Linked DNA regions of Elephas maximus indicus. The protein of the gene in region 1 interacts with the protein of each later gene in a pairwise test. Links are inferred from orthologs where the notes say so. Each region holds a gene or a part of one and is shown in the gene's direction. Other genes may lie near its edges. The genes, in order: MKRN3, ENKD1, FAM110A and TCHP.

What was found.
Region 2: the proteins of MKRN3 (region 1) and ENKD1 interact in binary tests that used the Homo sapiens proteins (3 or more experiments, as listed by UniProt). The two-hybrid records come from large-scale screens. The link is inferred for Elephas maximus indicus from reciprocal best matches to the Homo sapiens genes MKRN3 and ENKD1.
Region 3: the proteins of MKRN3 (region 1) and FAM110A interact in binary tests that used the Homo sapiens proteins (3 or more experiments, as listed by UniProt). The two-hybrid records come from large-scale screens. The link is inferred for Elephas maximus indicus from reciprocal best matches to the Homo sapiens genes MKRN3 and FAM110A.
Region 4: the proteins of MKRN3 (region 1) and TCHP interact in binary tests that used the Homo sapiens proteins (3 or more experiments, as listed by UniProt). The two-hybrid records come from large-scale screens. The link is inferred for Elephas maximus indicus from reciprocal best matches to the Homo sapiens genes MKRN3 and TCHP.

What each region holds. Positions count from the first base shown.
Region 1 is NC_064831.1:99,037,823-99,045,072, forward strand, and holds MKRN3 (probable E3 ubiquitin-protein ligase makorin-3), read left to right. Parts: upstream 1-4,245; 5' UTR 4,246-4,360; coding exon 4,361-5,776; 3' UTR 5,777-6,762; downstream 6,763-7,250. UniProt on the Homo sapiens protein: E3 ubiquitin ligase catalyzing the covalent attachment of ubiquitin moieties onto substrate proteins.
Region 2 is NC_064839.1:34,136,051-34,143,847, reverse strand, and holds the start of ENKD1 (enkurin domain-containing protein 1), read left to right. Parts: upstream 1-4,787; 5' UTR 4,788-4,801; exon of another isoform or gene 4,802-6,199; coding exon of another isoform or gene 6,200-6,609; exon of another isoform or gene 6,610-6,713; coding exon of another isoform or gene 6,714-6,926; exon of another isoform or gene 6,927-7,270; coding exon of another isoform or gene 7,271-7,487; exon of another isoform or gene 7,488-7,703; coding exon of another isoform or gene 7,704-7,797. Other genes in the region: GFOD2 (glucose-fructose oxidoreductase domain-containing protein 2), read left to right, coding at 2,037-2,935. UniProt on the Homo sapiens protein: Microtubule-binding protein which regulates microtubule organization and stability. Promotes the stability of astral microtubules and facilitates the proper orientation of the mitotic spindle.
Region 3 is NC_064843.1:38,839,091-38,846,609, forward strand, and holds the start of FAM110A (protein FAM110A), read left to right. Parts: upstream 1-4,518; 5' UTR 4,519-4,759; intron 4,760-6,449; 5' UTR 6,450-6,493; intron 6,494-7,519.
Region 4 is NC_064840.1:20,428,898-20,436,755, forward strand, and holds the start of TCHP (trichoplein keratin filament-binding protein), read left to right. Parts: upstream 1-4,840; 5' UTR 4,841-4,967; intron 4,968-5,813; coding exon 5,814-6,001; intron 6,002-7,858. UniProt on the Homo sapiens protein: Tumor suppressor which has the ability to inhibit cell growth and be pro-apoptotic during cell stress. Inhibits cell growth in bladder and prostate cancer cells by a down-regulation of HSPB1 by inhibiting its phosphorylation.

The sequences.
Region 1 (7,250 bases):
GTTAAACCAGTCGAGCGAAAATAAAAGCCAGAATCACTCGGGGGACAGAGGCTTAGGAGGCCAGCCTCAGGACTAGAAGTCTGAGGCTCCTGCACAGCAGGGAAGTGAAAATTGGAAATCATAATACAGGTGCTAAAAGTAGCCTAAGACTCAAAGTGCTCCCTGCTAGTGCCTCACTAATGAAAAGTGTTTCCAACTATAAACTAAAAAAACAAAATTCAAAACATTAAGGACCAGAAGAAATAATTTTGTCCACGGAACAAAACAACAAAAGGTTAAAACAGTGAGAATTATCAGACAAAAAAAACAAAACAAAAAAACAAACTAATGGACATAAGATGAGTGAACAGAAACAGAATTTATAAAAATCATGGATGAAATGTTGCAGAAACTATGAGATGAACTTTTAAGTATAACAAGGGTTTGTGGTTTTAAAAATAGGTATTAAAAAAAACCCTGAATGAATGAAAAATACTCAAAACCAAAAGCCAAACCCACTACACATAAACAATTTTCATGTCAATCTTAAACAGGATAAAACATGTAAACATATGTGCCCGATTCTGGTCAAATAAAACACAAAACCACAAAATCATCTGACTCAAAGCTACCCTTTAGAGAGACACCCTACAGGATAAAGGTAGAACTCCTCCACAGGGTTTCCAAGGCTGTAGTCTTTACAGAATTCTGTGTGGCCACTGAAACGATTTATCAAACACAGCAGAGAAGTACAGAGTACCATGAGAGGAACAGCTGGTGTCAGCACTGGCAAAAACGTTGGAGGGTGGAGGTAGGTTTGACTTCCACCTCAAAGGAATCACCCTCAGGCCGTTGATGCTGGTAATGATTCTCCAACCCCCTTGTGAAGTTAGAGAAGGAGGTCTGACCCTGACATCATGTCATTTCTACACTTTCCATCTCTTTTCCTCGTCTCCATCTACTTAATTAGGATTTAAATTATTGACCTAGATGATTATATCAGAAATAGTCAGACTTTCTCTCACTTTAAAATTTAAATTTAGGCTATAAAATTCCCTGTAAGAAACTTGTTTTGGCCAATAAAATTCAATGATATACAAGAGGAAGACACATCATCACAGCAAAGCTTTATTCTTAGTAAAAATGTTAAGCTAATATGTGAAAATCTTTGTGTCAATAATCACATTGAGACAATGAAGACTAAAAAAAGATCATCTATCAATATTCACAGAAAATTAGTATTCAGTATACATTCATAATAACTACTCTCAGCAAAGTAGTAATAGAAAACAAGTTCATTAATAAAACGTATCTACAAAATGACAAAGAGCTCACATATATGGAAATTAAAAAGCACCACTTGCCCCATGTATAGTAGAGTCAACATTCTGGAAACCTGTTCTAACACAATACAGTACAAAGCTGGGTGAATTAGAAGATTCAAAAGAAGGAGAAAAAATAAATGGAAACAAAGGGCTGCCATGAGTTAAACCAGTCGAGCGAAAATAAAAGCCAGCATCACTCACTGGGCAGCGGCTTAAGAAGCCAGCCTTACGACTAGCAGAAGTCTGGGGCTCCTGCACAGCAGGGAAGTGAAAATTAGAAATCACAATAAAGGTGCTGAAGTGGCCTAACATACAAAGTGCCTCCTGCTAGTGCCTCACTAATGAAAAGTGTTTCCAACTATAAATGAAAAAAAAAAATTCCAACCACTAGGAACCAGAAGAAATAATTTTGTCCATGAAACAACATAACAAAAGGTTAAAGCAGTGAGAATTTTCAGACAAAAAACAAAACAAAACAAGCAAACAAAAAACTAATGGACATAAGATGAGTGAACAGAAACAGAATTTATAAAAATCATGGATGAAATGTTGCAGAAACTATGAGATGAACTTTTAAGTATAACAAGGGTTTGTGGTTTTAAAAACAGATATTAAAAAAAACCCTGAATGAATGAAAAATACTCAAAACCAAAAGCCAAACCCACTACACATAAACAATTTTCATGTCAATCTTAAACAGGATAAAACATGTAAACATATGTGCCCGATTCTGGTCAAATAAAACACAAAACCACAAAATCATCTGACTCAAAGCTACCCTTTAGAGAGACACCCTACAGGATAAAGTAGAACTTCTCCACAGGGTTTCCAAGGCTGTAGTCTTTACAGAATTCTGTGTGGCCACTGAAACGATTTATCAAACACAGCAGAGAAGTACAGAGTACCATGAGAGGAACAGCTGGTGTCAGCACTGGCAAAAACGTTGGAGGGTGGAGGTAGGTTTGACTTCCACCTCAAAGCAACCAGCCTCAGGCCGTTGATGCTGGTAATGATTCTCCAACCCCCTTGTGAAGTTAGAGAAGGAGGTCTGACCCTGACATCATGCCATTTCTACACTTTCCATCTCTTTGCCTCGTCTCCATCTACTTAATTAGGATTTAAATTATTGACCTAGATGATTATATCAGAAATAGTCAGACTTTCTCTCACTTTAAAATTTAAATTTAGGCTATAAAATTCCCTGTAAGAAACTTGTTTTGGCCAATAAAATTCAATGATATACAAGAGAAAGACACATCATCACAGCAAAGCTTTATTCTTAGTAAAAATGTCAAGCTAATATGTGAAAATCTATGTGTCAATAATCACATTAAGACAATGAAGACTAAAAAAATGATCATCTATCAATATTCACAGAAAATTAGTATTCAGTATACATTCATAATAACTACTCTCAGCAAAGTAGTAATAGAAAACAAGTTCATTAATAAAACGTATCTACAAAATGACAAAGAGCTCACACATATGGAAATTAAAAAGCACCACTTGCCCGATGTATAGTAGAGTCAAAGTTCTGAAGGCTGTTCTGCCACAATACAGCACAAAGCTGGGTGAATTAGGAGATTCAAAAGAAAGAGAAAAAGGAATGGAAATAAAGGGCTATGATGAATTAAACCAGCCGAGCAAAAATAAAAGCCAGGATCACTCAGGGGACAGAGGCTTAAAAGGCCAGCCTTAGGACTGGAAGAAGTCTGGGGCACAGCCGGGAAGTGAAAATTAGAAATCACAATACAGGTGCTAAAAGTTGCCTAAGATTCAAAGTGCTCCCTACTAGTGCCTCACTAATGAAAACTGTTTGCATCTATAAACGGAAAAAAAAAATTCCAGCCATTAGGAACTAAAAGAAATAATTTTGTCCACGGAACAAAACAAAAGGTTAAAGCAGTGAGAATTATCAGACAACAAAACAAAACAAACTAATGGGCATGAGTGAACAGAAACAGAATTTATAAAAATCATGGATGAAATGTTGCAGAAACTATGAGAAGAACTTTTAAATATAAATAAGGGTTTGTGATTTTAAAAAGATATTTAAAAAAACCTGAATGAGTGAAAAATACTCAAAGCCAAAAATCAAATCCATTACCCATAAATAATTTCTATGTCAAGCTAAACAGGATAAAACATGTAAACATATGCACCTGATTCTGGTCAAATAAAATCAAAACCACAAAATCATCTGACTCAAAGTTACGCTTTAGAGAGACACCCCATAGGACAGAGCAGAACTTCCCCATAGGGTTTCCAAGGCTGTAGTCTTTACAGACTTCTGTGTGGCCACTGAAACCATTTATCAAACACAGCAGAGAAGTAGAGAGTCCCATGAGAGGAACAGCTGGTGTCAGCACTAGGCAAAAAGTTGGAGGGTGGAGGTAGGTTTGACTTCCACGTCAAAGCAACCTGCCTCAGGCTGTTGATGCTGGTAATGATTCTCCAACCCCCTTGTGAAGCTAGAACTGCCCCATGGGGTTTCCAAGGCTGTCGCAAATGGCCACATCTTTCTCCCGCGGAGCTGCTTGGGGTCTGCTGGTGGGTTCCCATTAAGGAAATCTTTTGGTTACCAGCCCAGAGCTCAACTACTGCGCCACCAGCTGTCGTGAATGAAAAATAGAAGCGATATAAAACCTCAAAGTGTTTTGATTATATCCACCAAAGGAGACAATGCGATAAGCGGAACTTGGGACGGGGGGACGCATCTGAGACTGACAAAGCGCCGAACAGGGCCAAGGCCGTGAAAATAGCCGAGGCGCCGCAAAACTATCACGGTGGAAAAAAACCGGAAGTCTGCCGAAAACGCCTGCAGTAGAGACTAGGTAAAGCAGAAGCGGCGCCACCACAGGAAGTGTCCGCCTCGCTGGCGAACGGAAGTACGTAGGAACTCATAGTCATAGGGAGCTGGGAGCAAGGGGGACGACGGAAAGTGACGGACCGCCTAGAGAAGAGAACCGGCGGCCCAAGAGGCCGCCCGGCCTCTCGCCCGAAGGGAAGGCTCGCCGGGGTGGGGCATCCTGGTAACTTTCAGCCCCCTGGAGGCCATGAGAGAGTCTGCAGCTCCCTCAGAAGCCCCCAGGACCCCCGGTGCCGAGGCAGGTGCCGGGGCGGAAGGGGGAGATGCCCGCGGTTCCGGCCTACCGGCGTCCGCGGCCTCCGGGGAGCCTGCAGAGGCACTAAGGTCGGTCCCTAGACGTGCGAGAGGCTTACGGCCTGTCCAGAGTGCAGGGGGAGGGGCCGGGCCCTTACGGGTGCCGGACCGCGGCGTCGGAACCTGGACAAAGCTAGTGACCTGCAGGTATCATTTACATGGGTCGTGCAAGCAAGGGGAGAAGTGCCGCTACTCCCACGACCTCTCAGGTCGGCAGCCGGCTAGCCAGGGTCCCGATTCGGGGCTCCGGGACCCTGCAGACGGCGGTCCTAGCGCGGCTGCGGAAGTGGAGGCCTCGACTCCGGAAGTGGCGGGAGCTTCCCCTGGTACTTCCGGTCACAACTTGCCGCTGATTGGCTCAGCTTTTGAAACGGAGAGCGGGAATGCCGGCGGCCAAGCAGCCGGAGCAGTTGCGGCAACCTGGGCGGATGCTGTTGAGTTTGTTCCGGGGCAGCCTTACCGGGGCCGCTGGGCGCTGCCTGCCCCGCAGGCTTCGGCACGGATCTCGGTGGCGCCAGAGGAACCGCTCTGCCAGTACGCTGCCGTGGGAGAATGCCCTGATGGGGAGAACTGTATGTATCTCCACGGAGAGGTGTGCGACATGTGTGGGCTGCAGGCTCTGCACCCCGTGAATGAAGCCCAGAGAGCAGAGCACGTAAGGGCCTGTATAGAAGCGCACGAGAGGAATATGGAGTTCTCTTTTGCCGTGCAGAGCAGTATGGACAAGGTGTGTGGCATCTGCATGGAGATTGTCTATGAGAAACCCAGCGCCGGCCTTCGCCGCTTTGGCATCCTCTCCAACTGCAACCACTCCTACTGCCTGAGGTGTATCCGTGTGTGGAGGAAAGCCACACAGTTTCAAAACAGGGTCGTCAAGTCGTGCCCACAGTGCAGGGTCACCTCCCACCTTGTTATTCCCAGTGAGTTCTGGGTGGAGGATGAGGCAAAGAAGAAGCAGCTGATTAAGGACTACAAGAAAGCAATGAGCAAAAAGCCTTGCAGGTATTTTATGGAAAGCAGAGATCGGTGCCCTTTTGGGAACCACTGTTTTTACAGGCATGTTAACCCTGAGCGTCAAAGAGAAGAATCCCAAAAGCAGGATGCTGGAACTTCCAGCACTTACTGGAATCAGCTTGTGGAGGGCAGCGTGTCCTTTAAGATCAATGAAAAGGAGCTTATCAGGCTTCGCCTGGCCAAGGTGTTGTTTAAGTATCTCCTTTCCACGGGGAATTATAAAGTCCCCTTTTCTGATTACCAGTGGGAGTTGCTTCTTTTTGAGCTTGAAAAGTATTTCAATTTGATTCCGTAGCATCGTGCTGTGGCATGTGGTCTAGTCTGTAGAGGCCCTCTTCTCTGCTATTTTGCCTGTGTTCCTTTTACAGACCCATCTGTCACTTTCAGGGGCTGTTGTGACAGTTTTTGTACAGTGTCCCTTTCTGTTTTCTTACCCATTCCTCTTATCTTTCCCGCTAGGATTATGGTGTTTTGCCGTGTTAAAAAGTAACAAAAGTCTTTAAAATTACTGTTCAGTGAAATGATTATTGCTGTCAGTTTATCTTGTAATCTCTTTTTTCAACAAGATACACTCAGTTCTAGGTTAGTGTTTACAGAATTTCTACACTCATTTTGAAGTCTCTCAAGAATAACTGTGACAGGGTAAAAGGAGGAGTCTTAACTGACCAAATGGATCATTGTGTGATCTTGTGGCGCAGCTGCATATTTTTCTTTGTTTACATGCCTGTCCCTTCTGTCATCCCTTGTCAAGTGCACTGATGATATTGCAGTTATTTTGTGGTTTCGTGTTTTACTTGAATCAAGTGCATATGTTTACATGTTTTTATCCTGTTAACTTGAAGTGAAAATTATTTATATTAGAAAGTATATCTTTAAGAAATATATATATGTCTGCATGTATGTCTGTATGAAAGTAGTGTATTTGAAATATATATTCAAGAACATACATGTGAACATAATTGTGTTTACATAATAAAATAAATGCAGAGCTGTAAGCTGAAGAACAAAGAGCAACAGGATTGGCTATTGTGTGAGTGCAAAGTGTGTGAATAGTCCTTCTGTACCGTACAGGTGTCAGTTATTAGCATCTAATGAAACAATTCAAGTGAAGTTGGCCAAATGTGACAGACACAGATCTTAAAGGACATACGAAGCATGACTTTGGCAATTAGAAATGCATGTCCCTGTGGCGTTTAGTGTCATCTCATTGTCCTCTGTAATAGCACAGTCATGACCTCAGACATGCAGTTCTTTGTGTTCAATATTTTATCCCTAGCCTTTCCAAACAAGGGACTTTTGACAAAAGTTTTAAAAATATAAGTACAAGATTATAAAGAGGAAAGTAGAAAAATAAAAAGTACTGAAATCGTTCAGAATACAGGAATGGAATGATAAAAGAATGAAGTTTAGGACAAAAAGCTAAATACAATACTAATACAGAAAATTTATAACATATCTTAATTAGGCTAACTGAAAACAGTATAAAACTAAAAGTCAGATTATCATACTTGATGAAAATTGGGATGAAACTATGTTGTTTACACAAATACAAGCATACAGAAACACTGGAAGTAATAGGATGGGAGAATGTTAACCAAATGCAAAGACAAAGTTAATGTTATTCATGGACAGAAATGAAGAATGCTATATAAACATTAAAATTACAGTTTTCCAGGAATATATAGCTTCTAATTTTGTATTCATTTAATAACATAGCCTAAGACATATAAATAATTAAAAAAATAGAAAAATCCAAAACCTCAATGGAC
Region 2 (7,797 bases), on another chromosome or scaffold:
GGGAGCACAACAGAGAACTCCTGAGGGAACAGGAGATCAGTGGGATGCAGACCCCAAATTCTCATAAAAAGACCATACTTAATGGTCTGACTGAGACTAGAGGAATCCCGGCGGCCATGGTCCCCAGACCTTCTGTTGGCCCAGGACAGGAACCATCCCCGAAGACAACTCATCAGACATGGAAGGGACTGGACAATGGGTTGGAGAGAGATGCTGATGAAGAGTGAGCTACTTGTATCAGGTGAACACTTGAGACTGTGTTGGCATCTCCTGTCTGGAGGGGGGATGGGAGGATAGAGTGAGTTGGAAGCTGGCAAAATTGTCATGAAAGGAGAAACTGGAAGGGCTGACTCATTAGGGGGAGAGCAAGTGGGAGTACGGAGTAAGGTGTATATAAACTTATATGTGACAGTCTGACCTGATTTGTAAACGTTCACTTGAAGCTCAATAAAATAAAAAAAAATAATAATAATCCAGGCAAAAAATGGTAGTGACGTGGACCAGGAAGGTGGCAGTGGTGGTAGTGTGAACTCATCAGATTCTGGATGTAGTTTGAAAGCCGAGCCAACAAGAGTTACTGATAATTAAAAATGGGGCAGGGGGACATTGGTGATTTTGGCTCGAGAAACAGGGGAACGGAGTTGCCATTGATTGAGATGGGGAAGACTTAGGGAGAAAGTATCAAGAGTTCAGTTTTGGATTCCTCCCCCAAACTTATTCCTTCACCTTAAATATCTTTGTGAGTGATACTACTGAGCATCTATCTATCTAATTCCTGCATTTCTTATAGATGCCATGTGACCCCTCCATCCCCATTTCCTAGCACATGCACCCAGGACTTTAGGAATCCTAACCTTGGGCCTTTCCTACCTCGGTGTGTTTGTGCATGCAAGTTCTTTCTGTCTGGATGCCCTTTCCCCGTTACAACCCTGGAACATCTGCTCCCTTTAAGACAACCTCAGTGTCACTCCCTTATGAAGCCTTCCCTCATCCTGCCACCTGCAGGGCAAGTTGCTCTGTGCTCCCACCAAACTTGAGCCTGTTCCCTCAAGAAGCCCATGACGTCTTCACCTTTCACCCAAAGATCAGACAGGCCCATAAAAAAAACAAGATGAAATGGGCACACCAGTCCAGGAGCAAGAATGAGAAGGCAGGAGGGGACATAAAAGCTGATAACAGGGAACCCAAGGTTTAGAAAGGAAGAGTGTTGACATGTCATGGGGGAGGCAACCAGTGTTACAAAACAATATGTGTATTAATTGTTTAACGAGAAACTGATTTGCTCTGTAAACCCTCATCTGAAATTAAAAAAAAAAAAGCCCAAGATTCTTGAGGGAGTCATGATAGTGGAATTTGAGTCATTCACCATGGGCAGTGTCTATAGAATGAGTAATGGAATAACTGGGTGCTTTCACCTTTCCCCAGCTTGCCGTCACTCATAAACCTATGTATGTGTCTAATCTATACCGTTTCTTGGGCTTTATAAGTTTTCTATTTGAAGGTATTTCTTTTAACTTTTTAAACTTTTGAAGGTAGGATTTCTTTTAACTTGAACCACCCTAAGCTTCCAGGGGTGCCCTAGGTGTTGGTGTCTTGTGGCTGCTCATACTCCCATGAGTGTTGGAGTTTTAAACCATGGCTGACAGTGCAGAGCCCATCACAATAGAATAAAGATTAGATTCTCTTGCCCCAAGATATCTAACCAGCGCATAAAGATATGGAACCATGTCCAAGAAGCATGTCCACCTCTCCATCTGACCTTTCTTTACCTCCCACTCCCGGTTTATGTCTTCTGCCTCTGCAAGTTTCACTTTTCCCTAAGAACTTGTCTTGCTTCGACCCATAAGTATTTCTTCAGTCCCAATCACAGGCACTGTTTTCTGTTCAAGCTGAGCTACCTTGCTTCCTTTCCAAGGCCACCTCCTGGTTCCATAGGAGGCTTCCCTGGAACCATCTGCCTTGAAGAAACTAGGTTTTTTTTTTTGGAGTGTAACCCCCTTGGAACTGTGAGATTTCCTGTTGTGTTTTATTCTCAGGTATTGGGAAGAATGTGGTGTGTGAGAAGGCAGCAACCTCGGTGGATGCCTTCCGGATGGTGACAGCCTCGCGCTACTACCCACAGCTGATGAGCCTGGTGGGGAACGTGCTGCGCTTCCTGCCTGCCTTCGTGCGCATGAAGCAGCTGATTGCGGAGCACTATGTGGGTGCAGTGATGATCTGCGACGCCCGCATCTACTCGGGCAGCCTGCTCAGCCCCAGCTATGGCTGGATCTGTGACGAGCTCATGGGTGGCGGGGGCCTACACACCATGGGCACCTATATTGTGGACCTGCTGACCCACCTGACAGGCCGGAGAGCTGAGAAGGTACACGGGCTGCTCAAGACTTTTGTGAGGCAGAATGCGGCCATCCGTGGCATCCGGCATGTCACCAGCGATGACTTCTGCTTCTTCCAGATGCTCATGGGTGGGGGGGTGTGCAGCACAGTGACGCTCAACTTCAACATGCCAGGCGCCTTCGTCCACGAGGTCATGGTGGTGGGCTCTGCAGGCCGCCTTGTTGCTCGTGGGGCTGACCTGTACGGGCAGAAGAACTCTGCCACACAAGAGGAGCTGCTCCTGAGGGACTCACTGGCCGTGGGTGCAGGACTGCCTGAGCAGGGGCCACAAGATGTCCCGCTGCTCTATCTGAAGGGCATGGTGTACATGGTGCAGGCCCTGCGCCAGTCCTTCCAGGGGCAGGGTGACCGCCGCACCTGGGACCACACCCCTGTTGCCATGGCCGCCTCATTCGAGGACGGGTTGTACATGCAGAGTGTGGTGGATGCCATCAAAAGGTCAAGCCGATCCGGGGAGTGGGAGGCTGTGGAGGTGCTGACAGAGGAACCTGATGCCAACCAGAACCTGTGTGAGGTGCTTCAGCGGAATAACCTGTGAGCATGTACGTGGGCTCCCTGCCATGGGGCACGGGGATCAGGAGCCGTGGCAGGAGGGCATGGCAGAGGAGGTGGCTTTTGTTTAACAAGTCCACTTGTGCTGGGTCTGGGTAAAGCCTAAGGTGACCCTGGGCAAACACCCTCTCCATCCGCTCATTTACTCCTCAGACTGGCAGGGCAGGGAATATTCTGTTGACCTGGGCCAGTACAGTGTGTGCAGGTGGTGCTGCTGCCAGGTCTCTGAATCGCTACACTGTTTAGCAGGGCCTGCAAAAGCTTGACCTGGGGGCTTTTCCAGCCAGATTTGTGGTCCTGAGAGGGTGAGAAAGCACAACAAGGAGCCAGCTTGGCTGATCCCTCAGGCTGGGGAGAAAGGACAAGAAGCCTTGTTTCCATGCCTTTCCTGGGCTGGGGCATCTCAGGAATGGTGAGGGCAGCATGTCATCCTTCAAGGATCCTCCCTTTCTCTTCCTGGGGAGCAGGCCCTTCAGGCCTCCAGGCTGTCCCTCTGTGATGGGGAAGAGGGGATTTCTTAATTAGGTAACCTCTCGGGCTATTAAAGGGGACCTGATTTGGCAGAGAGGAAACAAGGGAGAGGTTTAGAACATCTGATAAATGTTAATAAAGAGAGAGAATACGACATCATGGCATGTGGTTTTTGGTTTTTGTTTGTGTGGTAGTTTGGGTTTTTGTTTGTCTTTAATAATGAAAGGCTTATTTATTGCTGTACATTGTTCAGATCTCTGTCTCTCCTCTCAGTTTCTCAGCAGCTCTGAGCCTGGCATGGGCCCTTCACTTTCCAGGGGGCGGCCCTGGCCACTGCCCTGCTCTTGTCACTGTGGCCCTCATGGCCAAGTCCTAAGATTCCTCCAAACAAACGTCTTTCTTCAGAGAGCAGGACTCAAGACTCCCTGAGGAGGCCCTGTGAGGCCCACAGTTACAGGGAGACAATTTGGGGTCAGGAGGGAGTTCTGTTCTTCAAATCCTGGAGTTGGCACCAAGGGAATCTCAAAAGAGAGGAGGTGAGGAGTACTTCCAGAGAAGCTGGAGGGAATGGGCTGGAAGAGGAAGGGCTCCATGCATTGGCCCTTGGAGTGGTTTAGCTGAAAGCTGCCTGGGCCAGCCAGCTAGTTAACCAGCCAGCCTTTTATGAACTGTGTTCTACACAGGGATAGTCATTTTTACCATGTAAGTCAGAGGTGGGGTGAGTATTGGGAGAAGGTCCTTCAATCCCTTTTGTTCTCTTGTCTCGCTTTGACAGCCTGCCAGGATTGTTAAGCCTGGACCAATCTCTGTTCCCTTCTCTAACCTTCCCTCTCTGCTCTGCCCTGGCTCCTTGCCAGAAAGGCTTAGGAGGGCTTCCTTTTCCTTTTGGCACCCCTTATAGAAGTCACCAGGCTTGTTTTCCTGTATTGTCCTGGTTGCAAATTATTATCCTTTTGAGATAAAACAATGAGTAGTGTTGGACTGTGTTCACTGCATGCTGGGCCCTCCCAGGGTAGACACTTCATGTACTTTATTTTAATCTCTAAACAACTCTATGAGGTAGTATTATTAATATTCCCATTGTTCAGATCAGAAAATTGAGGCACAGAAAGCCAAAACTACTTGCATTGTATAAGCTATAAGTGATGAAGCCAAGACCCAGTCAGGACCAGTCAGAGCCTAACCCTGAACTACCCATTTCTCCAGCACTGGTGAATTCTCAGACTCTTGACTGCACATATGTTGCTGCCCCCACTCCCACTGGGGTATTCAGCCAGATTGTTGCCTTCTCCCTATAGCTGGAGTCAGCCTGGCCTGAGCTAGGAGGTGGACTGCAGAGACCCCACTGCCAGGCAAGATGCTGACAGTGAAGAGTTAAAGAGTGAGTGTCTACCCACCCTGCTCCTGGGAATGATGGTCACAGCTCCAGGTCTGTCCCCTGGTGTCCTACTAGGTCCCTCCTAAATTTGGGGATTTACCCAGAAAACAGATATCCATTGGGCCTGACTCAGATGCTTCTGCACAAGAAAGTGCCATGTTGTTGACTCAGAATGGCACTTAAGTTTTTAGAGGAATCTGCCGCCAGCTCTTTGTTTACCAAGGCAGATTTCTAGATGCCCTGGGGCCACTTTTATGAGCACCCCTGGTTCTCTGGAAACACCCCCAGAACCTAGATCCATGACCAGAGGAGTAGGAGGTGGGCTTTGAAATGGCGCACATGCGTGCCTGTGGCCAAGGAAGCCAGCAGGGTTCTGGTCCCTAGGGGTGACTGAGCCTGCAACTGTGGTTCCAGGCTTGTCCTGCAGTGGCCCCTACTGGAGGAAGGTGGCATCACCACCTCCCAGAACCTATTTCCCAAATCAGGATGTCAGCCAACTCTTCCTCTGGTCAAAGTAAACAAGGTTTTACCAGGCCAGTGAAAATACGTTGAACCTCTTAGAGTTTTCTCTCGGAGCAGCAACCAGGTGAGCGCTTCCAAAATACTTGTTGCTTACTATCCAACTCCAAACCAAATCTAGGCCTTGTACTCACCTAGACAATCACAGCCTCCTCACCTCCCTGTCCCCAGTAACTTCCTCCTCATTCTGTCCTTCACACTGAAGCCCAAGCAATCTCTCCAGAATGTCAGGCTGAGATCCTTCCTTGCCTATACCACTTCCTGCCAGGAAAAAGGCATGGACACTGCTGTCACCAGAGGCCACTCCTTGGGCAAGGTCTGTTCCAGTTGTGGCCTGGCAACAAATGGAAAGTGTTCCAAAGTCTGCCACTCTTCAGACAGTCATATGAACTGTGCCACCTCAGAGGGGGGTTCCTAAGTGCTGGTCCACAAATGCAAGTCAGACCAAATACAGGTCACCTCCCTGGGAGACAGGGAACAAGGGCAAGTCCCTATTTCCTGTGGCCTCACAGACCCTTTCTCTGCTCCAAGTCCCTCCTTAGTCACTTCCCCCTTGATCCCTCACTGTCAGCCTGAGGAGCTTTTAACTGCATAGAATCCAGGCCCCACCCCTCAGATTCTGATTCAGTGAGATCTGGGGTGGTGCCCAGGAATCTATTTTTGTCAAGTTCCCAAGTATTCAGATGATCCGTTGGGCTTTAAACCAGGCACTGGGTAATCTCGCAGTCTCAGAAAATGAAAAAATGTTTATTGTCAGCAAGCCCAAGTTTCCAGCAAGTGGGGGCATGGGCCAATTCTACCTTCCACCTGAGGGCCTAGGCCCAGAGGCTGCTGCTCTGGTTCAGGCTTGGGGGGAGGGGAGCCACCAGTGGGGCAGGACAGTCACTTGTACTGAGGAGAGAGCGGGGGCACAAGCGGAGCAGCACAAACACTCAGCATCTTGTTGATGTCCACCTGGTTTGATTTATCCACCTCGGCCGTGAGCCGGCTGCTGACCCCCAAGCTGGGCAGACCCCCAGGTTCCTCTCCAGCCTCCTCTGCCAGGGGATCCAGAATGTGGGTGGGAGGCACTAACATTTTGGGGCAGGGAAAAGCAAGGTCTAAGCCCAGCTCACCTGCCACGGGCGGCAAGGCCTGCAGTTGCTCCACACCCGCCTCCATGGGGACCAGGGCCAGCTCCGACTGGGGCTCCACCTCGGCCTCTGCCTCCCTACCCCCTTCCCCTGCCTGGTTCAGCTCAGGGTTGCAATAGTTGATGTACTGGTACAGGGGTCGAAGGCGCTGGGCCTTTCCTGAAAAGACCCAGGATAGGGCAGGGCTGGAGCACCAGGCTGTGCCATGTTTTAGGGGGACCAGCAGGCAGGGGAGAAAGGGGAGGCCCAGGGCTGCCACTCACGCTCTAGCCCCAAGGTCTCTGAGGAGGCAGACACGGTGCTAACTGTAGCTGGGAGTGCGGGGGCCCCCAGACTCTTGCGCTTCTTAGGTTTTTTGTGCTGTTTGGAGGATGGTGAGTGCTCGCTACCTTCTGGCTCCCCCTTCTGCAGCAGCAGACCCAATGGCAGCTCAGCTTCGGCCCTAGGATGGGCATGGTGACTAGCCCCTGGGGAGGCTGGGGGACCACAGCCATGGACGGGAAGCCTGAGGAGCCAGCCTGTGCCCCGTGCCTAGGGGATAGCCCTGCCTGCCCACCACCCAGGCCAGATACCTACCACTTTCCTGGTCAGTGAGGGCCCCCAGGCCAGCAGGGGCCCAGAGCATATGAGCTCAGTCCCCTCCAAGACCTTCAGGCTCCCTCTCTCTGGGTGCTCTCTAACAGGACTCTTGAGGGACAAAAGAGGTGGGAAGTGATGGTGGTGGCAGGGGATAAGGGTCTGCCCTACAGGAGTGCAGGCTTTAGGAATGCTGGGGTGTGAGCCCCACTTCCCATCCCTGCAGCCCCTTCCCTCTGAAAGCCCCCTTACTTGACTGGCTTTCTCTTCAGACCATGACTGGGCCTCACAATGGAAGCTAGGGGTCTGGGGCCTGTCTCCTCTATAGCATCCACGGCTGGCTTGAGCCTCTCCTCCTGGAGCACTGGTTCTGAGGCTGGTTCTGTTCGGCACTTATCTTCACCCTGGGTCTGGCAGGTTTCAAGGGCTGGCACTAGACATTGGTCTCCTGTCACTGGACACTAGAGGTGACACATAGGGTATCGGTCACCATGACCAAATGATACAGGGATCAGACGTTAGAGCCCAACATTAGACAAAGACACCCCATAAGGGGGACCAGCCTGTGCCCCTTCCCGCCCTTGGAGCCTGTCCTGGCAGTTAGAGGATCAGGGTTGCCCAGAGTTCGGCCCTCTTGAGCGCCGCAGGCCAGTCAGGTCAGGCGGCCCGATGGTCACCTCGGAGCTCTGAACTAGGTCACCGGGCGCCTCTGCCAGCAGTGCCAGACCCGTGGTGGTCCCATCCTGGGGCCCGTAACGTCTCTCCGCCCCT
Region 3 (7,519 bases), on another chromosome or scaffold:
GCAACTCAGACCCTCTATCTGTATCTCTGGGAGAGGGGCCCAGGCAACAGGACACTCATGTGCAGCCAAGGTTGAGAGCCACTGAGAGAGCTACTCAGCTTGCAGCTTCTGTTCGGGCAGCCTTCACTGAGCCTCAGCCGAACCATCTCTCCTCTGGGATCCCACAAGCCCCTGTGCTGACCCAACCTGTGCCTGTGGCCATCTCATGCTTAATGCATGTTTTGTGTCTGTCTCCCCCACTAGGATGTGGGCTCCCTGAAAACAGAGGTTTCTGGTGGGTCCTTCCAGAGAAGTTCAGACGTAAGCAAACACATACAGAGAGAACACCCTTTAAATTAAATGAAACAAAATAGAATACAGCCACAGGATGCACAGGCGACAGAGAGCTGACATCTGAGTCTGATTTCATCTCAGTTTCGAGCTGAGTGGAGAAAAAACTGCCAAGGTCAGAGTTCTGGAGGGGGCAAATCCCACACACTGAAGGAGCCACCGGCCTGTCAACAGGGCAGATGCTATTGTTGCTCAAACATGCTGGGTCAGGATAAGACCGTGAGGATTGCTGGCTCCCTCTGATCCAGGCGCAGTTAATGACAGTTTGTCCTTACTCTTAGTCCTCCACCCCAGCTTGGAGGAGGGCAAGGACTGGGATGCTGTCAACCACTCTGGCTAGGCACCAGGCTCTTAGCACATCCTTGAAGGAGGCATCATCAATACGCTGTTGGCATGTGAAGATGCCCAGAGTTCTAGAATCCAATACGCCCAAATTATCTTTCTTCATATGGCATAATTTGGGGTCCAGGGGAAATCCCTTCCCCCCTGGTTTGCTTTACTTTCTTAATCTGGGGAATGAGCCTCAGGTGGTGGTGTTTTGTTTTGCTTGGTTTGTTGTCAGCTGGAAGGCATGCAGGACAGAGGAAAGCTTTGAAGATGCAAGGGTCAGCAGGGCCTTTCTCCAAGCATCTCAAGTATATCCCAACCCCTGATTAAAGTTGAACGATGTTTCAGAGAAGAATCAGACCACAACACCATTATCATTCCTCTTTTAATAACAGGGAGGTCAAGGTCTGGGAGGGACCCTGGCAATGTGCTCACAGGGTCATATGCTTTTGTAACACTTGCCAAAGTAAGGTATTTTAACTGCGCTCTGTTAAAGCCACCATCTCTTTACACTCCAAATTCTCTTTGTGTCAGATGACGTTGGGGTGGAGTTAAGCATTTTGGGGCTTTGGCTAAGGGGACATTGAGTTGGGGACACATTTAGTTTGGGTTTAGTGGGATATATTTAGGTTGTTTCCAGTCATTTTTTTTTTAATTATTTATTTGTTTTTATTTTGCTCTAAGTGAAAGTTTACAGATCAAGTCAGTCTCTCGTACAAAAACATATACACACCTTACTATATACTCCTGGTTGCTCTCCCCCTAACGAGACAGCACATTCTACCTCTCCACCGTGTATTCCCTGTGTCCATTTAGCCAGCTTCTGTTCCCCTCTGCCTTCTCATCTCCACTCCAGACAGGAGTTGCCCACATAGTCTCATGGGTCTACTTGAGCCAAGGAACTCACTCCTCACCAGTGTCATTTTCTGTCTCATAGTCCAGTCCAATCCCTGTCTGAAGAGTTGGCTCTGGGAAAGATTCTAGTCTTTGGCTAACAGAAGGTCTGGGGACCATGACCTCCACGGTCCTTCTAGTCTCAGTCAGACTATTGAGTCTGGTCCTTTTATGAGAATTTGAGGTCTGCATCCCACTGTTCTCCTGCTCCATCAGGGGTTCTCTCATTGTTGTGAATATTTAGGATCTCTGGTGGCATAGTGGTTAAGAGCTTGGCTGCTAATCAAAAGGTCAGCAGTTCAAATCTACCAGCTGCTCCTTGGAAACCCTAGGGGGCAGTTCTACTCTGTCCTATAGAGTCACGTGAGTTGGAATGGACTTGATGGCAACAGGTTTGTTTTTTGGGGTTTTTAAAAACTTATTACTAACTGACCTGGTGTAGGAGCCCTGGTGGTGCAATGGTTAAGAGCTACAGCTGCCAACCAAAAGGCTGGCAGTTTCAATCCACTAGCCATCCCTTGGAAACCCTGTGGGGTAGTTCTACTCCATCCTATAGGGTCGCTATGACTTGTAATCAATTTGAAGGCAACGGGTTTGTTTTTTTTTGACCTGGTTTAATAATGGCTTCCAGGAATACGATTACCCCTTGAACTATCCTGACTCAATTGGTGTTGTGACGTGATAGTGCAGGGTTAGAGGTCATATTTCAATATAAATGACCTTACATCACCCACACCAGAAGTATTTGGGTGCTAGAGGAGAAGTTTGAAATGTACGTATACATGGAGCCAGAAGGTAGTTTGTGGAAAGTATTACATGGGTATGTCAAAGAGGTAATAAAGAATGTTATTTTTCCGGGTTTTGTAACATTTGCGGGATTTGTCAAGTTTTAAAATTTTGTCACTTGTGGTAGTTTCTTTTATCTTTCTAACCAAGTATTCACTTTATGACCTAATTATATATTCTTTGCTTTAAAGAATTCCCCCTAAATTGTATAAAGCTTCAGGCTGCACAAAGCCTGGATCTGCTTCTGCTCAGCTTTTTCCTGTGTCTTATAGGAGCACAGGGCCAGCCTGGCCTTCCCTCACCACTGCTGCCACTGCCACTACCAAAGAGTTCTTGCGTATTTATGAAGGAATATAACTGGCTCTGGATTCAGACAAATCTTAATTTTCTCACCTATAAAATGGGAATAATAGTAGGATCTCTTTCCTCAGATTGCAATGAAGTCATGGCTCAGATTGCAATGAAGTCATGGGAGATAATCTTTGTAAAGCCTCTAGCACAATCTAGCAGGGGATACAGTGAGGGCTAGGTTTGATATTTACCTGGTGCTCACAGTTACAGCCAGACTCCTCATTTATGACAGTTTCTGTTCTGATTTGATCAGTGCCCAAGCCAGAGTTCAAAATCATTGTTAGCTGCTGACATACATAAATGCTCCTTTCTACTCCCTGCCCCCACAAGGTATGTATACATAAGCGCTCAAACATTGACAATGCAATGAAAGAAGGAAAGACACCAGCCAGGATAGAAAACAGAGGCAGGCTCCAAATTGAGCAATGCCTTAGACTCAAACAGTGACTCACAGTTATAAAATTAACCTTGAAGAGCCCTTCATTTATTCTAACCTCATAAAAAAAGAAAACAAAAGAAGTTTTCCTGACAGTTTTAAGTATTGGGAATTTGGAAATTCCACAAAAGCACAAAGAAGAAATTAACGGCTGTTAATTTTTTTTTTATACATATATACATGTGACATCACGATTATAAACTTAATGCCCATCTATGGGGCAGTTCTACTCTGTACTACCGGGTCGCTATGAGTCGGAATTGACCGGACAGCGCTGGGTTTTTTGGTTTGGGGCATGCTGTACATACTGCTTTGAAACATATTTTAAGTTTAATGCATTCTTAGCATTTCCCCTGTATCTTGAAACGTCTTTTAACTATACCATTTTTAATGAATGCTTAACATTCTTCATCAAAAAATGGGGATAAAAAAAATTTTTTTTAATTTGATCTCAGGGAAACCCTGGTGTCATAGTGGTTAAGTGCTACGGCTGCTAATCAAAGGGTCAGCAGTTCAAATCTGCCAGGCGCTCCTTAGAAACTCTATGGGGCAGTTCTACTCTGCCCTATAGGGTCGCTATGAGTCAGAATCGACTCGATGGCACTGGGTTTGGTTTTTTTGGTTTTATTTGATCTCAGAGGATTATCCTGAGCACTGACAAAGTTATACCATGCCAAGCCGCCTGGCATGTAAAAACTCAATAAAAATCCAAAAAAACCCGTTGCCCTCAAGTTGATTCGGACTCATAGAGACACTATAGAACAAAGGAGAACTGCCCCATAGCGTTTCCAAGGAGAGAGGCCGGTGGTTTCGAACTGCCGACCTTTTGGTTAACGGCCAAACGTTTAACCAGTGGGTCACCAGAATGGACTTACATAATCAATCCCTTTCTGCTGGTCATTTAATTTGTTTCCACTGTTTTGCTATGGGGAATAACGCTGAGCTATATTAATCTTTGCTCGCATTTTGATCATTTTCTTAGGACAAATTTCAGGACTGCAGTGCACGTCATTTTAAAACGAAGCCACTCATCGCTGTGCAGCTAGAGGAACAGGGGAAGAGACTTGCCCAGGGTCACATGGCAAGTTAGCTGCAAAGGAGACTAGACACACTCCAGAAGCCCCAACCACTGCCTCTTTCAGGTGGGGACCCTCAGGACTTCCGGTCTGGGGAGCGGGGGGGAGGAGGAGGAACGGAAAGAACCACGCGCCCGGGCGACTGCAGCCGCCGGAAGAACGTGGGGCCGACAGGGAAGGGGCGGGGCCGCCGAGTCCGGGCGCTCAGTTCACGAGGTTGACGCTAAGTCGTCGCTTGGCAACGCGGGCGGCGCGGCGTTCGAACGGAAGCGGGGGACCAATCAGGATTTCCGGGGCGAACCATTCCGGCCGAGGGGGGTGTGTGTGTGTGCGGCGCGCTCACTTCCCCTTCCGCGGATCTCTGGACCTACGCTCCGGCCGGGGCCTTCGGAAAATCAAGGCCCCCGGGCCATCTAGTGAGACGGCAGCTCAAAGAGGCCCTCGGGGCTGGGGTCTTCCGGGCCGCGTTGGGAACGGTCACTCCCAGCCCGGGTCAGAGCTGTCAGCCTCTCCAAGACCCACGCTAGAGGAGCGACGACTCGCGTAGCACAGGCCCCAGGTGAGGGCGCGGGTGGTCTGGGGTGCGAGCCGGGGTCCAGCAGGGGGTTACGGTTCACTGAGCGCCTGCTGTTGGCGTCCTCACTGAATCGTACCTGCAAGAAGGAGGTGTTACCCCATGTCACAGGTGAGGACGCTGAGGCTTAAGAGAGTCAAGTGGCCCAGCCCGGAGAGGTCTGGCAGAGAATCCCATTCAGGTCTTTCCACCTCATCTCGCAGCCTAGATGTGCCTAGAAAGGCCCAGACGGCAACTGGTGGTCACTTCTTAGCTTCTTTGGGGCACGGCTCGTAGACCCCCTGGCTGGATCACCTCCTCCCTACAACTAGGCCCCTCCTCCCCGTCCCCGGCGTCTTTGGGTCTGTAGGGTGCCCCTTCTGGGCGTCTGTCTTCCCTTCCCCAGAACGCCATGGGTTGGACTAAGTGTTCATTTGGGGATCTTCTGCCTGCATTCTTTCTTACAACAAAAATTTATTGGCTTCACAGCCCTGCCCTCCCCCTTGCCTGTTTTGTCTCAGTAGCATTTGCCCCATCTGTTGTCCTATCTATTTCACTTATTAGTGAGTTTATTGTCTTCTCCTCTGGAATGTGACACAGGGCAGGGGCTAGAATGAGGCAAGTGAGGCACTCAACCTCTAGTGCAAAATTTAGGGGTGCCCAAAAGCTCAGTAATTAAGATAAATAGTATTTCAGTGAACCATTTTTAAAAGTAAAAATGCAGTGCATGCTAAGCAAAATATCACTGTTACAGGGTTAGTAACAGTGCTGTGCCAGGCAATATTGGATCCAAAAGGAAGAATTAGTATTCTGTCTTTATAATCACAGAAATGATGTAAATAACCACATATCCAAATGTAAAATTTCAGTGTGACAAGGAATATAATAAGAAGGAGGAGAGAGCCATGAGGGAGTTTCACTGGGGGCCCTGAGCTAGTCTAGGCATGGTCAGGGAGGGTTCCTGGGAAAAAGGGATGTTTGAACTGAGATCTGAAGGTCAGGGAAGCTTTAGGAGGAGAACAAGTGGTGGGCAGGTGAGAACATCCCATGCAGAGGGAGCATCAAGGGCAAAAGTCCTGAGGTGGGAGCAAGCTTGAAGAGGGTGGAGATGTGGCCAGGAAGAAGAGGAGCGTGGTCTCCAGGGCAGGCCAGAGCTCTGTCCCTGGCATTTGGGCCCTTTGAGAATTATTGCTTAAGGGGTACCTTGTAGGGTTGCTATGAGTTGGAATCGACCCTAGTAGCTTTCTTTCAAGTTCCTTGGCGTTTTGTTTGTTTATTTAAGTGTTGTGTAAGCATCACCACTATTTATTTCCAAAGCTTTTTCATCATCCCAAACAGAAACCCTGTACCCATTAAGCAATAACTCCCCATGTCCTGCCTCCTCCCAGCCCCTGGTAATCTCTAATCTACTTTCTGACTCTGTCCATTTGCCTATTCTAGGTATTTCATATAAGGGGGATCACACAATATTTGCTGTTTTGTGTCTGGCTTATTTTCAAGGTTCTTCCATGTCATAGCATGTATCAGAACTTTATTTTTCTTTATGGCTGAGTAATATTTCATTGTATGTGTATACCACATTTGTTTATCTGTTCCTCTGTTGATGGACACTGAGTTGTTTCCATCTTTTGGCTACTGTGAATAACACTACAGTGAACATTGGTGTACAAGTATCTGCTGGAATTCTTGCTTTCAGGTGTCTTGGTTATACACCTAGGAGTGGAATTGCTGGGTCATAAGGTAAGGTCATATTTAATTGTTTTACTGCATGTTATTCTGGTGGGAGGTCAACTTGCATGGCTTCCATGGAGTGTAGTTCCACCATCTCTGTCACAATTACAAGTGCTGTCCGCTGACTCAGCTGTCTCACTTCAGGTATTTCTTCTTGGCAAAATGACATAGGTACAGTGACACTGCAGCATGGTTTGTAATAGGAGGGACTGGACACACACTGGGTGGTGCAAATGCTTAACATGCTTGGCTACCAACTGGAAGGTTGGCCTTTTGAATCTATCCAGAGGCACCTCACAGGAAAGGCCTGGTAATCTACTTCCAACAAATCAGCCATTGAAAATCCTGTGGAGCACAGTTCTACACTGAAACACATGGGGTCACCATGAGTAGGCGTTGCCATGAGCGGGAATCGCCACAAACGAGAGTCAACTCAATGGCAAGTGGAACTGGTAGGCACAGTGCAGCTGTGAAAAAGGAGAGGCTGCTCTCTGGGTATTGATGGCGTACCCAGAACAACATATATTGTTGAGGAAGAAGGGCAAGGTTGAAAACAGTACACAAAGCCTGTTGCCATTTGTGTAAAAAAAGAGAAAACATGTATGTCCATACTTGCTTGTATCTGCCTAAAATTTCCCTGGAAAGACACACAACTACCTGGTCACAGTGGTGCCTACAGGGAGGGGAACTGGGTGGCTCCCCAGGACAAGGGCAGGAGAGAATTTTTTTTTACTCCATTCCTTTTTATAGGTTTTGAATTTTGAGCCATGTGAATATATCACCTGGTTGAAAAATGATACATATGTGATCACTATATATTATATATCTAATTGTGAGAACCACTGCCATATCTGTGGTCTGTCACTGACTTGCTGGGTGACCTTGGGCCAGTTTCTTCACAGCTCTGGGCCAAGGTAAGAAGCCATGATAGTGAGCCCCCAAAGGGTCAGAGGGCAATCAGGACAGAAGTGGGCTGTGGGTCTGCTTCACTTCTACCACCCCCATCCTCTGTGCCAGGCCCTTCCCTAAGGGTTT
Region 4 (7,858 bases), on another chromosome or scaffold:
ACCCAAAAATGAGCACAGGAGGGAGCAGGTAAGAGCCCAGCCTCTGGAGTCTGACAAACAGACTTGGGATCAAACCCTGACTCTACTACTTCTAGCTATGTGACCTGGGCCAAGTGATATAATCACACCAAGCCTCAGTTTCTTCATCTGTAAAATGGGTATCATGATAGTATCTCCTTCAAAGTGTTAAGGAGGATATTCCATGAGATAGCATATTTAAGGATCTACCTGGGACATGGGTGAGCAGTAGACCTAAGTCCCATGAGGGTGCCGATGTTGAAGAAGCTGACGATTATAGGTCTCAGTAGCTCTGGGTGAAAGCAAGGGATCTAAGAAAGCACCCAGACCAACCTGTCAGGTAACCTAGCTCTCATCTTAACTCTGCCATTAGCTTATTCCAAGAACCTCTTTCCTTCTTTGGACTCAGTTTCCCCACCTGTTAAATGAGAATGGGTCGGGCAATATTATTTAAGATTATTTCTGAAGACTTTCTAGACTTCTAATCCCAGTGGTGGCATTGGGGGCTGTGTTCCCCATCCTGCTGGCCCCAGCAGCCGGCCTTTCTCTAGGACCTTGCACCAGCAACACGAGTTCTTTATTCTCAAGAGGAAGGTGAAGTTGGGGAATGCCTAAGGAGACAGACTGAGAGGTGAGGCTTTTCTCAGGGAAGAAAGGCTCCCAGGATTCAACAGAGGAGTCTGGGAACATCCCAGGAGCTTGCTCAACAGGGATTGAGCTTAATTTTAAGGAACCAGCCCTGGCACATTGTCCAGGTTCTGTGACAAACCTCTCTGGCAAAGGCAGGGTCCTGTAGCTCATCCCCCACACCCCTGGCTGCAGGCTGGGGCACTTAGGGTGGGGTCCCACTGGCCATACTTTCCTTCATTCACTACGCATTTTCTCTCTCTCTCTTTTTTCTTTCTATCCTTTTCCACATCATTCCACCACCATTAGCATAAACTCGATACCCCCTAAGCAAAAGCTTCCCCTTTCCCCCTTCCTCTTACCCCTGGTAACCACTAAGAATCTTTGGTCTCTATATATTAGCTTATCTCATGTAAGTGAGATTATACAGTGTTTGTCCTTCTGTGACTGTCTTATTTCACTCAGCATGATGTTTTCAAGGTTCATCCATGTTGTGGTATGCATCAGGACTTCATTTCTCTTTATGGGTGACTAATATTCTATTGTGTGCATATACCACATTTTGTTTATCCGTTCATCTGTCGAGGGACAAAACCCAAACCAAACCCACTGCTGTTAAGTTGATTCTGACTCATAGCGACCCTATGGACAGAGTAGAACTGCCCCACAGGGTTTCCAAGGCTGTAAATCTTTTTGGAAGCAGACTGCCACATCTTTCTCCTGTGGAGCAGCTGGTGGGTAGAATTGCCAAGCTTTCAGTTAGCAGCCAAGTTGTTTAACCACTGCGCCACCAGGGCTCCACTGTCAATGGACATTTACTAAATATTTTTAGCACCTACTCTGTACCAATCAGAGGCTGGAACATGCAGCAGGAGATGGAGTTCATGGTATATTGGTGAAGGGCAGATGTTATTTTAAAAAATATTTAAGGTACCAGTGGATGCTATGGAGAAAAAATACAGTGTATTCCAAGGTTGGGCAACCTGACCTAGTCAGAGAGAACTGGGGAGGGCTTCCCAGAGAAAGGGATATTTACACTGAGACCTGAAGGTTGAGTAAGAGCAGAGGGGAAGAGCCTTCTAGGAGGAAGGAACAGCATGGTGGAAACTTTGGAGGTAAGAGTTGAAACAAAGGCCAGTGCAGCTAGCAAGGTTGACAGGGGCCAGACCGTGCAGAGCATAGTGTGCACCTTGCACCAACGGAAGTGGGGAGCCATGGAAGGATGCTAAACAGAGGAGGGAGCTGCTCCGACATTGTCCACCAATTGCCTTGAACTTAGGAACTTAGGAAGTGGAGGCTGTCTGCCTCCCTGGATGGACTGTGTCCAGTAGAATCAGCGAGGACAACAACCAGCAGAAGAGCAAAAGAAAAGAGGGAGGAAGAAGACCTTTCCCAGCCCCCTCCCCTGCAGACATCCCTCGGGTCTCTTTGAGCAGAACTGGGCCACAAGCTCATCACTGGCCGGTCACCAACAGGGGGCGTGGGTCCACCAGAGTTGGCTTAGACTAACTGGTGCTTAGGAAACCCTGATGGTGTAGTGGTTAAGTGCTATGGCTGCTAACCCACAGGTTGGCAGTTCGAATCTACCAGGCACTCCTTGGAAACTCTATGGGGGCAGTTCTACTCTGTCCTGTAGGGTCGCTATGAGTCAGAATCGACTTGACAGCAATGGTGTTTTTTAATTGGTACTTACTCCCTGAATCCTGTAGAGAAGGGTAATGCCCCACCCCAATCAGGCATCAGCTTGAACAAGAAAGTTGAGGGAATGGCTTTTACATAATCAACCAGTAGTGTCTGCTACTGTGAGCAAATCAGTAAATACTTTCCAGCTCCTTCTTTCAGTAGAAAAGGAAATAAACCCAGCACTTACTGAGACAGGGAGTCCCTGGGTGAAGCAAATGGTTAACATGCTTGGCTGCTAACCAAAAGGCTGGAGAGTCGGAAGAAGGGGCTGGTGTTATGGATTCAACTGTGTCCCCCAAAAATATGTGTTGTAAATTCTAAGCTCTACGCCTGTGGCTATAACCCTATTTGGGAATGGGTTGTCTTTGTGATGTGACTGAGACAGGATTAGTGTAGGGTGTATCCTGAGTCAGTTACTTTTGATGTATAAGAGAGATTAAACAAGCAAGCAGATGTGGGAAGAGGATAGACACCATGCCACATGAAGATCACCAAGGAGCCAAGGAATAAGGACCTTCCCCCAGAATGAAAAGAGAGAAAAACCTTCCGCTAGAGCTGGAGCCCTGAATTTGGACATCTAGCCTCCTAAACTGTGAGAAAACGAATTTCCATTTGTTAAAGCCACCCACTTGTGGTATTTCTGTTATAGCAGCATTAGATAACTAAGACACCTGTAGATCTATTTCCCAAAAGTCAGCCATTGAAAACCCTATGGAGCTAAGTTCTACTCTGACACACATGGGGTCGCCATGAGTTGGAACTACCCCTAACCCAGCTCCCAGCCATCTTCGCTGTTTTTGCTGAGTGGCCTTTTATAGTTTGTTCTCATGTATACCTACATTTGTTATTCTTCCTGTTGTTAATATTATTAAAACACAAAATTGGGGCTCTGGAAGGCAACCCTGTCCTCCCAGGGTCTTTGAACACACCCTGTCTAATCCTGTATCTTTGTCTTCAGGAAGGGGGGGGAGCCCAGCCCAAGTTGAAGGGAGCCAGTGTGGTTGATGTTGAAACGCTGTGAAAACATGGTGTGGATAAAAATGCCTGGCAACGCCATCTGCTAATTAAGTGAGGGGCGTTGTGCAGCCTCCAACACTGTCACATGTCAGCTAACGGACAGCTGGTCCCATGTGCTCCCATCTCCCCATTCCTGTGTCTCCTCTCGTGCTAGGATACCCAAAGGCAGGTTCGAGGAGAGTAGCCCTGTGTAGCTGCATGGTGTGAGCAGCATCCACCCTGACCATTCCCCGCCAGGGCCTCCCCTCCCAGCCCTCTGTGAGCCACAGTCCTCAGCCTGTTAATATCGCCGAACTCTTTATGTGGCCCAGATGGCCTGAAATGTGTAATGGTGGCTACCAAACCAAAAAACCCGCTGCCCTCGAGTTGATTCCAGCTCATAGCAACCGTGTAAGACAAAGTAGAACTCCCCATAGGGTTCCTAAGGCTGTAAACTTTATAGAAGCAGACTGCCACATCTTTCTGCTTCGGAGCAAGCGGCTGGTGGGTTCCAACCGCTGATCTTTCCCTTAGCAGCTGAGTGATGGTGGCTACAAGCTCCTAGAGAAACAGATGGGAGACTCACAACTTCAGGGGGCTGGGTGTCAATCCTGCCTCCTGTCCTTGCTGTGTGACCTCAAGAGAGTTGCTTCACTTCTCTGAGCCTCAGTTTCCTCATCTGCAAAGTGAAGGCAACAAGGGAGGCTTCAGCAAGGTAATAAATGTTAAAAACATCTGGCACATGGCAGGTGTTCAAGAAATGTGAGTTGCTTTGCTTCTTGCTTTCTTTCATCGTTCCCTTTTTTTTTGGATAATGGGGAGAAGGGACTCAAAGTTGGGGATCTACTCATTGGTTTTTAACAATAGAAGGTTACCAGTACCCTACATCTATTTACATCGGTAGTCTCTGCCTTGGTTGCACACCAAACGCACCTAGGCAGCTTGGAAAAACTGATGCCCGGGATCCACCCCCCCGAGTGATTTGTCTGGGGTTTAGTCTGGGGATCGGGATTTCTTAGAGCTCTCCAGGTCATTCTCATGTACAGTCAGGCGGCTTATATTCTTTTCCTCTATCCTATCCCCGTGATTTCCTACCACCCTTACCTTCATCCCCCTAGGTTACCGTGTACTGAACGGATTCTTTTCCTCCATCGTTCCTTATTTTAAGGACTAGTGATCTTTAGGAGCCCAGGTGGTGCAGTGGTTAAGCACTTGGCTGCTAACCGAAAGGCTGCCACCAGCCGCTCTGCGAGAGAAGGGTGTGGCCGCCTGCTTCCATAAAGATGATAGCCTTGGAAACCCTATGGGCAGCTCTACTCTGCCATATAGGGTGGCTATGAGTCGGAATCCACCCCACGGCGATGGGTTTGGTTTTGGGCTTTCTGAAAAGCGACAATTGCTCTTGATCGCCCGCCCAACACTAGGAGGCGCCAGAGAAAACAGACGCCTTTCTTTCTTCCGCGCGCTCAGTATCGCGCTGGAGGCGGCTTGGCCCTCGCGACGCTCCGTCGCCAGGCCCGTTGCCGGGACAACGAACTTTGAAACGGCTGGCGTCAGTGCCGCGCGGCCTGCGGGGAGATTGTCCGGCTTGTGGGACCTTGGCCTGGGTGGGTCGCTTGGGAAACTCCAGGACCCAGAGAAATGTGAGTCGGGAGGCTAGCTTCGTCCGGGAGCCAGCGTGGGGCCCAGGACAGGGTCCCGGCCGCTGTCGGCCCGCAGTGGCGGGAGCGCGGGTTGGTCTGGGGACACGAGGACAGGGCGCCCGGATTCCCGTCCTCACTCTGCTCCGACACTTGCCGCTGTCATCCCGCTTGTCAGATGTGGATGTTGAGGCTCAGTGTCTCCATCTGTGAGATTAGGGATTTGCCCTCCATGATGGCCCAGAGCACTTTCAGCTGCAGCACCTGGTCTGGGGACTGCCAGGGCATTTTGGTTCCAACACACAGCCTGTCACAGTTGACAGAGCCTGGAATCTGGACTCAGACCAACGTGAATTAGAACCGCATCTCTTTTATTTCCTCCATTTCCTGGCTGAGTGTTCCCGGACAAGTCATGTCACCTCTTTAAACTTAAGTTTTCTTATCTACCAAATAACAGAGGTGGTCATAGGGATGAGACTGCTCCTAAGATGTTCCTTAAATGATTGTCACTGTTACTTTATGCAGGGTATAAACCTCCCCAAGGAGTGGTTCTCTGTCTCTGTCTTCAGTGCCCCCGATAATGCCTGGCCCACAGCCAGTGCAGCCCACATTTATTTAAGTCAGCGATTTGCAGTGCTGATAGCAAATCAATTTTAAAATGCCGTTGCCTGGGCGTCACTCTTAAGATTTTCTGATTTAATTGGTCTACTATTTTTTTGAAAGCTCCACCAGGCGATTCCAATGTGCAGCCAGGGGCGAGAGCCATTGATTAGAGGGATGAGGCCGAGCTCGGGAGGGTTCCTGGGGTTTGCAGTTGGCTCACTTTCCTGCCATCGCTGTTCTCCTCAGATGGCACTGCCCACACTGCCCTCCTCCTGGTGCAGCCGGCGGCTCCTAAGTCAGCAGTTGGCACGGCAGCGAGAGCAGGCGGACTGGCTTCGGCAGCAGTGGGATCAGAACCGTCGCTACTTTCAACTGTCTGACATCTGCAGCTCCAAACAGGCAGAGTGGAGCTCCAAGACCTCCTACCAGCGGAGGTAATTGCACAGTGACTGCCAGTTAGATGGAGGTGGGGCCTGCTTGCTGGTCACGGGATGTGGTGTTAAGGGCCCTGGGAATGTGGCTTGGCTTGACATCATGCCTTCTAGAGGGATTTGCTAACAGCAGGGATTGCCTGCATGGTGGTGATGGTTTTTCCAACTAAGAAAGATAAAAGATGCTTAGCTTCATTAGCCTTCAGAGATATGCACATCAAAACCACAATGAGATACCATTTAATTCCCACTAGGATGGCTTAGATTAAAAAAAAAAAATCAGAAAATAATGTATGTTGATGAGGATGTGGGAAAATTGGAGCCCTTATCCATTGCTATTGGAATGCAAAATGGTATAGCCATTGTGGAAAACAGTGTGGCAGTTCCTCAAAAAACTAAAAATGGAACTACCATATGACCCAACAATTCCTAGGTATATACCCAAAAGACTTGAAAGCAGAGACTCAAAAAGAGACATGTACACCAATTTTCATTGCAGCACTATTCACAATAGCCAAAAGGCAGAAATAACCTAAATGCCCATTGACAGATGAATGGATAAACAAAATGTGGTACATACATACAATAAAATACTACTCAGCCAGTTGGAGAAATGAAGTCCTGATACATGCTATAATATGGACGGAGCTTGAAGACATTATGCTGAGCGAAATAAGCTCACAAAAGGACACATATTGTATGACCTCACTTATATATAAAAAGACAAGGAAAGGCACACATATAGAGATCAAAATTTATTAGTTTTTACCAGGGGTGTGAGGAAGAGTGGAAAGGGGGGAGGTTAATGGTGAGGGAAAAATCACATTGATTAAGGGCACAGTTGCACAGCCGATTATTGTAATTGCTGTCAATGAGTTGTACACCTGTAAAAAGTTGAATTGGCAAAAGTGGTATAATAGATATGTTAACAACAACAACAACAAAAAGCTGCTTATGTGCAGCCAGACACCTTACGGGATTTGGTTCCTTGGTTAGGAGGTTTATGGTCATAGTTTCATGGGACACTCCAGTTAATTGGCCTAAGAACGTGTTTAGTGCTTCTGTTCTACCTCCTAGTTCGTTGTGTAGTGCCTGGGGTCTTAAAAGCTTACAAGTGGCCATCCAAGGCACAACAATTGGTCTCTAGTCACCTGTAACAACAGCAGAAGGAGAGTCAGGAACAGGAGGAAGATATGGAATGTGGGCTAATAGCTTCCATGAACAACTGCCTCATTTGCTGTGAGACCAGAAGAACTAGATGGTACCTGGCTGCCATTACTAAATATTTTGAACAAAGATTCCATAGAAGAATGCTGATCAGAATTTCAAATTCTCATGGACTGTAGACTTTCTGGAGCCATGGAAGGTAGACAAACTCCTGAAACTGTTGCCCTGAGATAATCTTTAAACCCTAACCAAAAATATCCCCTGAAGTCATCTTAAAACCAAACGATAGTTTAGCTTAACTAGTAAAAAAGACCAGCCTTGACATTATGCTTTTTTAAGAACTATCTATATGGGATCAAATTGACAACAGGCAACTTGAAAGATTAGATGGGAAGCTTAGGGGCAGTGAGTTTGTTAATGGGGGAGGAACAACTCAGAAAAGGCTGAGAACGGTTGCACGACTCCAAGAATGTAACCAATTCACCAAATTGTACATGTGGAAACTGTTGAATTGGTATATGTTTTGTTGTGTATAATCTCAACAACAACAAAATAAATAAAATTTAGAAAAAAAAAAGACAAAACAATACAGAAGTGTTTGAAGTAGAATTTAGAAGTCATCTTGTAATCCCACATCTCTATACTTCTGTATAAAAACATACATACATAAACCAATTTTTATAGAAATACATG